Oryctolagus cuniculus: one gene and its partners. The protein of the gene in region 2 binds, or shares a complex with, the protein of the main gene of each other region. Links are inferred from orthologs where the notes say so. Each region holds a gene or a part of one and is shown on either strand. Other genes may lie near its edges.

Region 1 (4,436 bases), on a different chromosome or scaffold from region 2:
AAATTATTTTCCTTGAAAAGGTGATGATAGAGTAACCTACGTACTTCTTCATTATTCCATTAATAACCTCTAGCTGAAGCTAAATGACTGCTGTAACTCTGGAGTACTGGCGAGCCTAAGTGATATTTTCGCACAGCAGCCGGGGCAGTCCAGAATGTGATCTGCTAATGCCTGTGATTTCTCCTGGTGCAAAGTCGCAGGCACTGTTAACGCCACTGTGGATGGTGGCCCACGTTCCGTACGGAAGAAAACGCTGCATATTTGGAGAGCGATTTGGGAAAAGGAAGATGTCGCTGTTCCCTCTGCATTTCATCCATGGGCTCCTGTTGAAGAAGCTCAAATGATTTGAATGCTTTTCCTTCAAAAAAGGTATGTTGGAGTCCTGGCCCCTGGCACCCCGGAGAGGGACCCCAAGAGTTACTGTAGTGTAATTAGTCAAGATGAGATCGCCCGGACTAGAGGCGTGAGGAGGACTGGTGTCCTTACAAAAGGAGGGATTTGAGCGTGAGTGTGTGCACCAACACACATACCCAGAGATACACACAGGAAGGATATCCTGTGACGGTGAGGGCAGAGATCGGGGTGGCACGTCCACAAGCCACACACTGGCGGCAACCACAAACTCGGGAGTGGCCTGGATTAGATTCTGCCTCCGGCCTCTCAGAAGGAGCCAGTGCCCCTCCTTCCCCCACCCTGATCTCAGACTCCCTGTTAAGTGGGAGGCAGTATATTCCTGATTGCCAGGCCCCTGTCTCTGTGGGACACTGGGACAGCAGCCCTGGCTAACTGATATGGATGCCTCTCCCAGAAAGGAATGGCACAGCCTCCGTCTGACCCTGTGTTCTGTCTGCATGCTCAGGAAATACTAGGAAAATGTGTTTGAGCCAGCAGGGGGCCCAAGCGCCCCAAAGCAAGCCAGGTGCATTCTTATCAGAGAGGACCTGGGTTTTAATCCCAGTTTTGCCCAGGAGCCTGGACCATCACGTAGCTCTTCATGGCCCTGTTCCCAACAGGAAGTGGTGGCTGTGCCCCCAGACCCTCCTACTGCACCCACTCCGGATGTCAGCCCTCCGTTGCCCACCCCTCTCAGAAGGCATCCCTACAGGACGGTGAGAAAGGCCACTTGTGCTTTGTAAGGGCGGTGGACCTGGCGTTTTTGGAGAACAGCCTTGCTCTGAGCTGTATTTCCCAGGCTTCCCACCTCAGGACGTCGTGGAAGGTGACGTCACCGCCATTGTGCAGCCGCTCCATCTCGTAGCACATGTGCTTAAACAGGAGCTTGTCCTTGTCCAGGTCCACCTCCAGCCTCCCGCGCAGCAGCCGCAGCAGGAACTTCACCCGGAACGTGGGGATCACCCCCTGTGGGCAGAGCGAGCCGTCAGAGGCCGGAGGGACACGCTGGGGCTGCCCTTCTCACAACCAACCAAGCCAAAGCACACTGCCCTGGAGGCTGGGGCACAGATGTGTGCCAAGGCAGTGTGTGACAAAAAGCTAAGCCGTGCTCTTCTGTTCCAATGGGATCTGTGTTTGGAGCCAAGGAGGGTGGTAAGCTCCCCTGGGCTTCCCTGGAACCAACAGGTAAGGCTCATGCAGCTCGTTCCATTGACTAAGCCCCCACTGGGGCTCCAATCACCCATTCGCACTCTAGCATAGCCCTCCTTCAGGTACTCCAAATGCTACATGCTTCGTAGTATCTGTTACAAGTTGCTCTTCCATGGGAGGCTAGCTGCTCTCTAGTTCTTCCCCAAGATTACAACAAGTATAGACAAGAGAACTGGGCTCCCGGCTCCTCCTCCTTTCTGGATCGGAACAGTTCCAGACCCTGAGGAATCTCAAAGGCGTCACCACCTACCCTGCCAGCCCTGGGTGTCTTTGGATAACACTGGTGGCCGTGACTTCCTGTCGGCTGCTAACCTCTCAGTGTGAATGGTGATATGGGTTTCCCTGTGTGTATTGCGTGGAAGTAGGCTCCTAAAGGCAGCAGCCATGGAAGTTTCAAGTGGATCCAGAGGAGATGAAAGAGTTAGACCAGGTACTCTTCCTACAGGTCATTATCTTGGGGGAGAAATTCTGAAAGAATGAATCTTCAATGAGGGGAGGAAGAGCAAAGTGGGGTAGAGAGGGAAGGTCCTGCTCAAGGCCAGGACCCCTGAGCTGCAACACCTTCACTGGCTCCTTGGTCTCTGCACCCTCCACTGGCTCTTCCTGGCACTGTTTATGGACCTTCCCTCAGACCCTCCATGGCTGAATTCTTGTCTGTTAGATGTTAGGTCAATTATCTCCTCTCCATACTCCATCACCATCCCTGCTGAAGAAGTCTCTGTGACCCCAACCACACTCTATCATTTTACCTTCTATAAAATACTTACAGCTTATTTTTTAAAATAAAATTTGTTAGATAAGGAAACACACAGAGAAATCTCATATCTGCTGGTTCACTCTCCAAGTGCCCACAATGGCTGGAGCTGGGCCAGGCTGAAACTGGGAGCTCAGTCCAGATCTCCTACGTGGGTGGCAGGGACCCAGCTACTTCAGTCATAACGTACTGCCTTCTAGGGTGTGCATTAGCAGGAAGCTGAAATCAGAGTGGAGCCAGGACTTAAACCCAGATACTCTATAGAGGATGTGCATGTCCCAAATGGTGTCTTAACAAACTTCTTGGAATAGGTAGGTAGTAAGAAGTATTTTGGATTTCATATTTTCCCCCAGGTTTTAGAATATTTGCATATACATAATAATATGTCTTGGGATGGGAACTGAGCCTAAACAAAAATTATTTACCTTCTATACATAGCCTGAAGTTGGTCTGATCACTATTTTTAGTGTGCCTGTTTTTGACTGAGACTTGTCACATAGGTGCAGAATTCTCTACTCACCACATGGGTGCTCAAACAGTTTCAGATTTGGAAACGTTTCAGATTTCAAATCTTTGGATTAGTGATGCTCAAACTGTGCTACTACTATGGCTAATCCTTGTAGGACATAAGCTGTGTGACTCCCAGGGCCTGTCTGTCTTGTTCTCCATCTTCAGTGTCTAGAATGTGCTCGAGTGTGTGTTATGACAAAGAAGGAAGAAAAGTGAAAGGAGTGGGATGATGATGAGGAAGAAGAAACTGCTGCTGCTTTGGCTAACGCTAGAGAACCAGTAAGCTTCAGGGTCAAAACCTTCAAGTAATAACTCAGAAATGGATCAAAACACCCTTTGAGATAACCTTAAATAATGTGTTTGTAGCTTTAATCAGCAGTGCTGCTCCAAGTTGTGATCATGAGCCTGCTTATCTGCTGTCCCTTTGCTAGCTTCAGTCTCCCCCTTTTCCCGCCCTGAGCCCACAGTGGATTCCTTCTGAGCTGCTTTGACTTCCGGTCCCTGCTGACCTCACGCAAGTTGGAGGAAGAGGTTGTCGATGGCTGGAAAGGGTAAGAGGAAGAACTCCTCTGTCCTTTCTCCTCCTCACACATTCTGCAGAATTGTCAACAACAGCTTTCTGCAATTCACCAGTGGTCATTCCATGTAAGTCCACTGCCAGCCACAAAGCCAGGTAAATTTTGAGCTACGTCAGCAGATCTCTTGGGGTGCAGCATGAAACGCGTCGTTCTCCTACCTCTCTTTTGTCATCCACCATATTCCATATGATCTGGAAGTGGCGAAGATCGTTGTAACTTAGGAGCTGGTCTTCCTCAGTAGAGTAAAACAAGGAGAAATTCTCTACAATTATGGCTGAAAAAAATTCAGAAGTCAGACAATCATGCTAAGCTGTCGCTTTTTTAGGAAAAGTAAAAACCCCTATTATACATAATGGATTTTATCATCTACATTATAAGAACAAATTTTTAAAGTGCTTTTACTATGGCTTCCAAGTTGGCATGTTTTATACTTGGACTGAGCTATTCATCCAGCTTCCGCCTTTCCAAAACATGAGGGTCATGAACACACACACACACTCTGTGTAGATGACACTGATGCCAGCTGGCTTTAGCTCTTAGTGGAGAGTTCCAGGGCAGCTTTTAAAGGTCAGATTGAATTGTGTGTGGTCATACAGCTGGTGAACAACATGTATCCTTCAAAAACACAAATGCAGTATTTCAAGGCTGACAGTGGCCCTGTCTCATATTTGTTCAGCTCAATCCATGGGAAGAGCTCTTTGGAAATTAATAATTATGATAAAGAGTACGATTCTTAAAATTGCAATCAACTGTCATTTACATGCCTCTCAAAGGTCTTTCCAGCTTCTAGGTTGGAAGGCAACCATTTATAATTCATGCTGTGAAATACCCACCCCAAGCAATCCAAGCTAATTATTTGAAAATTGTACATAATTATCTAAGTACCTGAGTTTAAAGAGATGAAAACATATTCAATGAATATCACCTACCTACGAGCAGATTTAACATGATGTAGGCAATGATGACATAAAAGGAACAGAAATACATGAGTG
Region 2 (4,436 bases):
ATATTCGTGTGGTTCAACTAATTTTTCAAGTACTTTATATAAAATTTATATCATATTATTTGATCCAGTGAGATCCTTATTCTTCCTGTTTTGCAGATAATAAATTGACCTTTAAAAATGTTACACAATTTGTCCAACATTAAACTTAAATTCAAAAGTGAGCCTTCTAGTTAAATAGTTCATGCACTTGTAAAACCACCACTACACTCTGTCTCCTATTTTTATGTTTATTTATTTTCATCTATTTGAAAGAATCACACACACACACACACACACCCCTACGTGCACATACACACAAACAGATCATCCATCTTCTGGCTCACTCCTCAAAAGCTCTCAACAGCCAGGGCCAAGTCAAAGCCAGGAGCCTGGAACTCCATCCTAGTCTTACACAAATGGCAGGGACTTGAGCCTTCTGCTGCTGCCTCTCAGCATTACCAGAAAACGGGATCAGAAGCAGAATAGCCAGAGTTCAAAGCCATACTCCCATACAGCATGCTGGCATCCCAAGCGGTGGCTTAACACACTGCACCACAACACCCGCCCCACACTTCATTTTTTTTTTTAAGTACATGGTACTAACCACGTAGAAAATAACATGTGTAAACTGAAAATAAACAGTGGTTTTCTCTTTTTCAAAATTATTAATTTAATGTGTCAATGTAGAACCACAGAACATATTAACTTACGTATGAGCTTAGAGTATTGTTAAAGTAAACAGCCCTGTCTTCATTAATAATGCACCATCAGCAATGGCTTTCATTTCCCCAAAAACATTGCTATTTGAGGGGGAAAAGACATTTTTGACACTTTTGTACCTGAAAAAGTTGAGGAGTTTTTAAAAATATAAGTGCCCCTGCCTAATTCCAAATCAATTAAATCTGAGTTCCCAAAGGCTAAGCCCAGGTAGTGGCATTTTTTTTGAAAGCTTCTCAGTTGCAGTGTTAAACTCCTATTTCATTTGATCTTGGATTCCTTTGCCTGGCAGGAATGATGGATTTGTACCAATGAGTGCTCTCTGTCTTCTGTGGCTTCCCCCCATGAACAGTAGCACAGATTTGAAGTTGGCTGACAAGACAATGGATGTCAGTTTTGAAAAATGGGACAGCAAAAAGGCTCATCCAATTATTTACTCAGGAATCCCTTTCTCTGGTCCAGTGGTTCTCAAATTTAATTGTGCATCAAAACCACCAACAGGCTTGTTAAAGCCCACATTGTTGGGCCTCACTTTCTAAGTTTCTGATGCAGGATGTCTGGGGTTGAACCTGAGAAATTGCATTTCTCCCAAGTTCCCAAGTGATGCTGATGTTGCCAATCCACACCTAAAGGACCACCACCCTGATCAGTCCTAATTGAAAGATTCATGACATGTGTGACTTTAGCTTCATTTCTTTTGTTCCTTTAGCACATAGGGGAAAATCTCCTATTTCTGTTGGATGATATTGAATGACTCTCTGGGTCTTGTCTTCCCTGAATATTTTCTGTGTTCTATAGTGGATCAAGGAGCCTCTTGGGAAGCAAACTGTAGCCTTTCCAGTGGCTAATCCTCCTCCTCTCATTGTTGTAGTTCAAGAGCCGCAAAGAAGACCGGGAGAGGAAAGGCTCTATTCCATTCCACCACACGGGGAAGAGGAGGCCACGAAGAATGGGAGTGCCATTCCTGCTTCACGAGGACCACCTGGATGTGTCTCCCACTCGCAGCACCTTCTCCTTTGGCAGCTTCTCTGGACTTGGAGAAGACAGGAGAGGCATTGAAAAAGGAGGCTGGCAAACCACCATTTTAGGTGAACACAAAGATCTTTCAAAATAGGGCAGACCTCAAGGGAACTGTTCAGGAATTTGGATCTAGAGCTCCTGGGCAAATTTGAATTTTTCTTAAACAGTTTAGACAAGAAATTTGGGCCCAGACTCAGGCTCCCCAGCACCAAAACAATGCTGTGTGTTCACAAAGAAACGCAGAGAATGTAGCTGACTCTGCAAGAATGCTGTATAATTAGGTAATGGCCCTGTTTCTTAGATCATTCTAGATGCTGAAACGGCATCAGAGGGTACTGGGAATTGCCTTTCATTTTGAATCTAAAGACAAACTTTTATTGAGTTCATTTTTTAAAAAAGGGAAAAGCAAGCAAAGAAAATGAAACATTTCCCCTTTATTGAAGGCATATCCAGCAGACCAGCTTGAAATCAAAAGTTGACAGCTGGGAGGCCCACGGCAGATGGCTTCTGACAGTTGAGTTAGACTGGGGCTGACCTTATCACAGGCAACTTCATCAATCATCCTGCCCCCTGACTATTCCCAAGGCAAATTTAATTCTTGCTATTTTGGCTGCGCTTCCTGCTCTTCCTAATATTCGCTCACTCTCACTGCGTGTCCTTTGGAAAGACAAAACCTGGGCAGAGACCCTTTCAGGTATTACAGCCCTCTTGTGTTGGTCTTGTTCATCACAGGGAAATTGACCCGGCGGGGCAGTTCAGATGCAGCCACGGAGATGGAGAGCCTGAGTGCCAGGCACTCCCACTCCCATCATACGCTGGTGAGTGACCTGCCAGACCACTCCAACAGCCACGGAGAAAACACCGTCAAAGAAGGTGGGCAGGAACTCGCACCTGTGTTCCTATTTCTCTTTCCTGTTCTTACACCATGTTCCACTTTCGTTGTTATCCACTTTCTTAAGTTTTTTGAAAACATGTATCTTGCATGATATTGCTTGGTAATTTACTTGTGAGCCATTCTTAGCGTCTTCTTAGCATCAGGAGTTATTTGACACCAGATAAAGACCACCACACCTTTCAGAGAGAACAAGGACAAGCTGTTCATACTTGTCTTCAGGAAGTCATAGTTCCACAGGGCTAGCTGAGACCTCGGAAGCAGCTACATGGAGTGCTTTGATGCTCTAATATATCCCTCTGAAAGGCATGGGCACCTTCAGCAGGAGGAAGGTCACTGACTTCCAAGGCCACAGTGTCTATTTCAGAGAAATGCCTTATTTACTTTATATGGAGCAAACATATGTCTCTGGGTGGAACCAACGACAAATTCTTAATCTACATTTGTTCTTGAATAATGAATTATTTTTCTTATTATTATGTATAACCTTAACCTCCTTCTCCCTGAATATTTCAAGTATTCAATGACATTAGTTAGTACTATGAATTTATATTCCCTTACTGTATACTAAATGAGAATAAATTTTTTCCACTCTGTTGTTTCTTAATTCACTATATAAAAACACATATTTCAACTGTCATAAACATAGGGAGGGGACCTAGATCCTGGATTTGGACTGGCAATGCCCTGGCCATTGCAGCCATTTGGGGAATGAATCAGCAAATATAAGATATTCTCTCTCTCTCTCTCTCTCTCTCTCCTTCTCCCTCTCTCCCTCTCTCTTTCTTTCTCTCTCTCCTCTCTCCTCTCTGTAACTCTGCCTTTCAAATAAATAAAATAAGTCTTTTTAAAAAAACATACATGAAATACTTCAACTAATCTAGTTTATGTAAGTATTGTCTGTCACCTATCAGTGGGTCAAATCCACCTATTATGATCAACCAAACTAAGTCAGTGTTAGACAAAAGTTAAATGCTAGCCTTAAGAAGCCAATTGGAATCCATACATTTCTATAATTATTTATCAGATTACATGGCTTTAACAGCTTTGGCAATTTCAGGGAAGCTGAAATAGTTTTGAGACTATGAATCAAACATGTACAAAAGCTACAGCTCTGACTGTTAATACTAGCTTAACTGTTGAACTGATGTTGCGGATTGATGTGGACAAAACTAAGACATTGCTTTCGTTTTGTTAGTGCGATCCCAGATCTCCACGATAACGGTTGCAACCTTCAACACCACATTGGCATCATTCAATGTAGGCTACGCAGACTTCTTCAGTGAGCACATGAGGAAGCTCTGCAACCAGGTGCCCATCCCAGAGATGCCACATGAACCCCTGGCATGTGCAAACCTTCCTCGAAGCCTTACAGACTCCTGCATAAACTACAGCTACTTGGAGGACACAGAACACATTGATGGGACCAGTAACTTTGTCCACAAGAATGGCATGCTTGATCTTTCTGTAAGGGGCAAGATTCTTTCCTACCAAACCTAGAAATATATTGACTCTTTAGCCTGATTTCTGTCATGTTGAACAAGTGAGCACATAGATTCTTAGAAATGTTGAATTGTAAAATTAAAAAGCAATACTCATATAGAAATGCTGCAAATGTATCAATTGTCATAGATGAACCTTCTCTTTCTTCAAGTGTCCTATTAGATTTGATATTATCTTAGAGTATTTTTATAACGAAAAATTAGTGAATCCCAAATATATATATATATATATATATATAAATGTACATATATATGTAAGTGTTTGCTAGGTCATTTTTCTCTAGAACAAAAAAGTAAAAAACTTTTATTTTCTTTTATTATATAAA
Region 3 (4,436 bases), on a different chromosome or scaffold from region 2:
TGCTCGTCTAACGTGAATAAAAGGGAGTCTGCATTCCCTATATCAAGAGATTTTTGCTTCAAAGAGCGCAGCTTTTTTTTCTGGATGCTTTCTTCTCTCACGCAGTGTAGAAGGCTGTCTTGCAATGCGCCCGTGTCTCTATATTCAGCCAGCTCTATTTCACCTGATTAAAACAGAAAAAGCTAGTACTATTTCACTTGGAGAGTCCACCTTCTTTTAACCCCTGGTATCCGGGCATACAATTGGCATAAATCATCATGACAATCCCAGCTCCACTAGAAAAGAAAACCAACTATCTGGCCAAGTTTTCGTAAGGTTCATTCTCATTTCAAAAACTGGAAAACTTTGCAATGAAAGAAACCGAAATGATAGTTTAAGGTCTGATTTCCAAAAATCAGGCTTTGGGATAATTCCTCAGCTCTATTCATTTGTGCACAGCAGAAAGAATCTGTGTTTTGTTGGTTTGTTGGCTGAGGCAGTACTAGGAAACTGTATTCAAATTGGGTGGAAGAGAAGCAAACATTCTGCAACAAATCAAGTCAAGCAATGGCCCTCGAAGACGATCATGACATTAATGGCGTATCTGTCAATTCACGTATATATATAAGCGGGTATATATATATACTGTTTGTGCATACATATATATATATAAATCAACAGTCTTAAAATGCGTAGTAACATAATAAAATTAAGATTTCACCCCAAACAAACGGTAGAGTACAACATTTTTGCATAAAATTACTAAGAGAAAAAATTCATACTTCTCTGAACATTCATCTCAACCGGCTGATATTTCACCATTTTGCTGCCGCCTATCCTTTTCAATCTTGCAAAAAAAGTTTGAGACTCTTTATGGCAGGGTCCAGTAGGTGTATCATGAATATCAGATTCATCAAAAACACTATCTTCTTCTAATTGGGGAGAGAAAGTCAAAATTACACTTAAGAGGTTATTCTCTCTTAGGCTGTGTCTACACAAGCAATTCACTGAAAGCATTGGGGAACACAGTCTGCAGTGATTTCGGCACCAGCACCCGCCCAGCCACAGGTGGGTGTTTTATCCATGCAACAAGCGATCCAGCAGAGCCACCATCGTTTTCTATGTGACAACTGGCAGCATTTTTATGAGAGGCATCTCAGTATTTCAGTAGAGCCTTCCTGGGGACCGTTTCCAGCGTGCGTAGAACCCGGTGACACACAGATGCCAGGACTTTTTCCAGGAATCTGTGACACCGCTTGAACTTGCCTGCTCTGGGCAGCTCATTTGACAAAACGAAATCAAACATCATGAGTGGGTCTTGCCCTTTCCAAAAAAGCATATGCCTCCCTGGGATCTGGGAACTGGCATAGACACAGCCTAACAGTACATGCACCTTATACTTTGTGAATGCAAAATACTGTACTCTACATTTGGTAATGAAACACACAACACACAGAAAAAGCTTAGAAAAGCCACTGGTCATCTCAAAAGCTCCACAAATGATCATGGACTGAAAGAGGAAACAAAGGAAAAAGGAAACAGAAAATAATATTTCCTCCCTGTGGAAGCCCCTCCCCCGAGGAGTCCACCACACGTAACTGCTCTCGGTCTGCGGAATCCCAGAGAGAACCTGCGCTCCCGCGGCCCTAAGGCTCCGCAGGCAGGCATTCTCTCAGAGCGCCTGATGCGCTTGTTTCCAGGCCTTGCTTCTACCCCCATCGGGCCACTTTGGACGCAGACATAACCCCAGTACAGTTAATGAGGAAACGATTCCTATGCTGTTAGCCAAGGAGTGCACTCAACAAATTCCCTCCTTTTATCCTTCACAAAGCCGAAGCTACCCACAAAATGGCAAAAGCAAAGCCCCAAAAAGGCTACTAAATGCATTTCCTACCACAACAAATGGAGATAAGCTAATATTTGAGTTGAATATCACCGGAAGTATACTATTTGGCCTATATGTAGATCTACCTATGTGACAAAATAAGGCTCAGGTGTGATTATGATTATTCGAGATTTCTTACAAGGGGGTATAGAAAAATTAAAGGACTGATTCTGTTCCAATACACAAGATTCCACAAATATATGAAACTGGAAGCAGTAAATTGTAGATGAAATAACCATACTAATCTTTTTAACCAAACAAAAAGTGTTCACGATCAAAATGGAGACAACCCCCCTCCAGGGAACTTCCACAGAGATGCGAATGCCTATCAAGTGCCCCTGTTTGCAGGGAAATGCAACAAAATGATCTATGTCTTTATTTCCTTTTCAGAACAATCTCCTTTGAAATATAGTTTTTCAAGCAAATAACTGTCACTTCTATTATACAACAGACAGAAGACCACAAGATGGCACCTCCCACCCAGAAAGGTTTTACATCCTTAGTTTATCAGAATCTAAACTCTCAGACACTAAGACCCAAGCTGATAGCCAAGCCATGCTTCCGGAAGGATCCGGATGACACCAGAACTTACAGAACCCAGTTCTCAGACTGGTGTCTGCAGACACCCTAGGTTCTTGGACTGTTCCACAAAAACCAGTGCAACGCTGCTTACAACCCATTCGATGGAGACACTTCCAGAAGCCTTACCAAATCAGACTGTACTAATACCACCAAGGATCACGACCCACTCGGCTTTCTCCCAGGACTAGAGCAGATGGTGCTGCCTTTTACAAGCCGAAGGCTACGCCTTCATTCTTCGTCTTCCACCTGAAAACACCCAGGCTGTGATCTCACTCTGTCTACATCTTCATTCTACTGCCTCCCTGGAGGAAACTCTATCAATAGAAATGGTGTCAACATGGGAAATGATTTAAATCTACGCAGCACAACTGTGTCACTTTCACTGCCTTGAATTATTCCCTGTTGAATAATGAGGCTGGGGGAAAGCACATCAGCCCATTGAGACTCTGTTCAAATCCTGGGAACCCTAAGTTCAGGAGCAAGCTAGAGACCTACACATGATGGCTCCCCCAAGTGCCAACCAAGATCTACTCACAGCCCAGGGGCAGGGTATTTCCAATACTCAAGGAACGGCTTACAAAGCTTTCTGAATCAAACAGCAGCATATATTTTATAAAACATGCTAGGGCTTCAGAAGCATATTATTTCTCTCGAATGCCCAATTAGAAAGTTAAAGCAATAACATTCATGGCAAAGTGGGAAAATTAACTAAGTGGTCAGTGATTTTTTTTTTTTTTGGACTCCAGAATGGTATCGGAGGGTGCTCTTCTACCTCGTAAGAAAAACACTGTACAGAAATGTATTTTGTATTTGAGCTAAGTCTGGGAGAGAATCCCAGGATGGAAGTACCTTTTTCTTTCTCACTGTATCTGCTGATGTTACTGCTGTCACTGTACAGAGGTCCTGCCGTGGCATGGGGCTTGCAGCTATGGTACTGGGCATTGAGGGTATTGACTGTTATGTGAATCAGGTGCAGCAGGAGTTTGCTGATCTCACAGTCTCGGTACGGATACTGAACAAGAAACGGAAGGAGAAAGACACAAACGGTTAATTCACAGGGTACATCTTCCCACTTGACCTGGCCAGATCTATTCCTCCGTATTACTTGGAGATAAAAATAAATACACACAGACAATTGAAAGCACAGATTCTGAGCACGCCTTATTTTCTAAAGGGATCATATTCCCTTCCTCTTGCGCCAAACCACTGACAGCAACACATGACAGTTCATTGTTCCAATTGCTTTCAAGAAAATTATCTGGCAGAAACCTTTGGTGGGTGAATACACTTTCAAGTATCTTCTTTGTTTTCTGACATAATAATTAATACTTAGATAAAATGCGAGATTCCAAGCATAAACAGTAGTTATTGATAAATGTCCTACAATTCATTTTTTTTTTTTTTGCTTTAAACATTTTTAGAGCACACAATGACATGGTCTCCCTTGTCTATTTTTATTCCAGTAGCTGTTTGTTTCTTCTAATTACATATCACAATTATTCTTGTGAAGGTCAAACTTCTACCCTACAAAATTCTCAACTTGAATCCCTAAGGGTGTTCCATGTTGGTAAGCTATTGTCATCACAGGTTTTATGGAGTTTTAAGCTTTCCATTTATATATCTACAGTAAATATGCACAATGAGTATTTACATAGCAAGAGAGAGAGGGAGGTGAGGGAAGGAGAGAAGGCAGTTTTGATATGTGAAATGGTATAGCATCATTTCCCTCTAGACAGCTGAGTATCAGTGGTCAGCCACCCGGTCAGCAGCTCCTCTAGCGGAATCCTCCCACCCGCAGAAGGAGGGACGATGGCGACTCACCTTGTACAGGATGACAAGCAAGGCCTTCAACCACATCTGCCGGATGTGAGGCTTTAGGGACCAGAGGGAACAGCGAGGTGGCTGTTGGAAATAATGTCGCAGTTGAGGACAAGAGCAGTATTTGAGCACCTGAACCACCAAGGGGAGAAGGTGTTTTCCCAGATTAATG

The links.
Region 1: the proteins of UNC80 (region 2) and NALCN are in contact, whole or in part, in a cryo-EM structure (PDB 7SX3), measured with the Homo sapiens proteins. The link is inferred for Oryctolagus cuniculus from reciprocal best matches to the Homo sapiens genes UNC80 and NALCN. Residues at the interface, in NP_115893.1 of Homo sapiens: Lys1979, Asn2004, Glu2005, Cys2006, Asp2007, Leu2128, Arg2129, Leu2130, Pro2131, Pro2134, Arg2135, Ile2138, Asp2139, Phe2142, Phe2145, Ser2146, Glu2179, Asp2184, Glu2185, Met2187, Leu2188, Asn2191, Asn2194, Ile2198, Leu2199, Glu2202, Ser2226, Leu2227, Ser2228, Gln2231; in NP_001337678.1 of Homo sapiens: Asn639, Met643, Val644, Ile646, Lys648, Leu649, Pro650, Phe653, Val655, Pro656, Lys657, Ile658, Arg659, Glu660, Phe662, Met663, Lys664, Gln665, Phe666, Ile667, Arg669, Val711, Ser713, Arg715, Ala716, Arg717, Leu719, Lys722, Glu723, Ala725.
Region 3: the proteins of UNC80 (region 2) and UNC79 are in contact, whole or in part, in a cryo-EM structure (PDB 7W7G), measured with the Mus musculus proteins. The link is inferred for Oryctolagus cuniculus from reciprocal best matches to the Homo sapiens genes UNC80 and UNC79. Residues at the interface, in NP_780719.2 of Mus musculus: Gln23, Thr24, Trp27, Ser31, Leu34, Arg35, Pro36, Ala80, Pro83, His84, His87, Ser94, Asn95, Asn180, Ala183, Leu187, Phe190, Leu191, Arg337, Leu340, Gln341, Pro342, His343, Arg1317, Asp1320, Glu1321, Asp1324, His1545, Val1546, Asp1547; in XP_030102533.1 of Mus musculus: Thr120, Tyr123, Ser127, Ala130, Thr131, Leu168, Ser169, Ser172, Met175, Ile176, Gln179, Tyr180, Tyr207, Tyr211, Gly212, Pro213, Ser214, Val390, Cys391, Glu394, Glu402, Phe405, Arg472, Cys541, Asp917, Phe920, Ser965, Glu966, Phe967, Ser968.

Annotation. Positions count from the first base shown.
Region 1 is NC_091440.1:11,691,517-11,695,952, reverse strand, and holds part of NALCN (sodium leak channel NALCN), read right to left. Parts: coding exon 4,374-4,436; intron 3,719-4,373; coding exon 3,603-3,718; intron 1,360-3,602; coding exon 1,202-1,359; intron 1-1,201. UniProt on the Homo sapiens protein: Voltage-gated ion channel responsible for the resting Na(+) permeability that controls neuronal excitability. NALCN channel functions as a multi-protein complex, which consists at least of NALCN, NALF1, UNC79 and UNC80.
Region 2 is NC_091434.1:30,083,527-30,087,962, reverse strand, and holds part of UNC80 (protein unc-80 homolog), read left to right. Parts: intron 1-1,567; coding exon 1,568-1,784; intron 1,785-2,448; coding exon 2,449-2,589; intron 2,590-3,806; coding exon 3,807-4,075; intron 4,076-4,436. UniProt on the Homo sapiens protein: Auxiliary subunit of the NALCN sodium channel complex, a voltage-gated ion channel responsible for the resting Na(+) permeability that controls neuronal excitability.
Region 3 is NC_091451.1:38,574,785-38,579,220, reverse strand, and holds part of UNC79 (protein unc-79 homolog), read right to left. Parts: coding exon 4,268-4,436; intron 3,459-4,267; coding exon 3,296-3,458; intron 912-3,295; coding exon 762-911; intron 164-761; coding exon 1-163. UniProt on the Homo sapiens protein: Auxiliary subunit of the NALCN sodium channel complex, a voltage-gated ion channel responsible for the resting Na(+) permeability that controls neuronal excitability.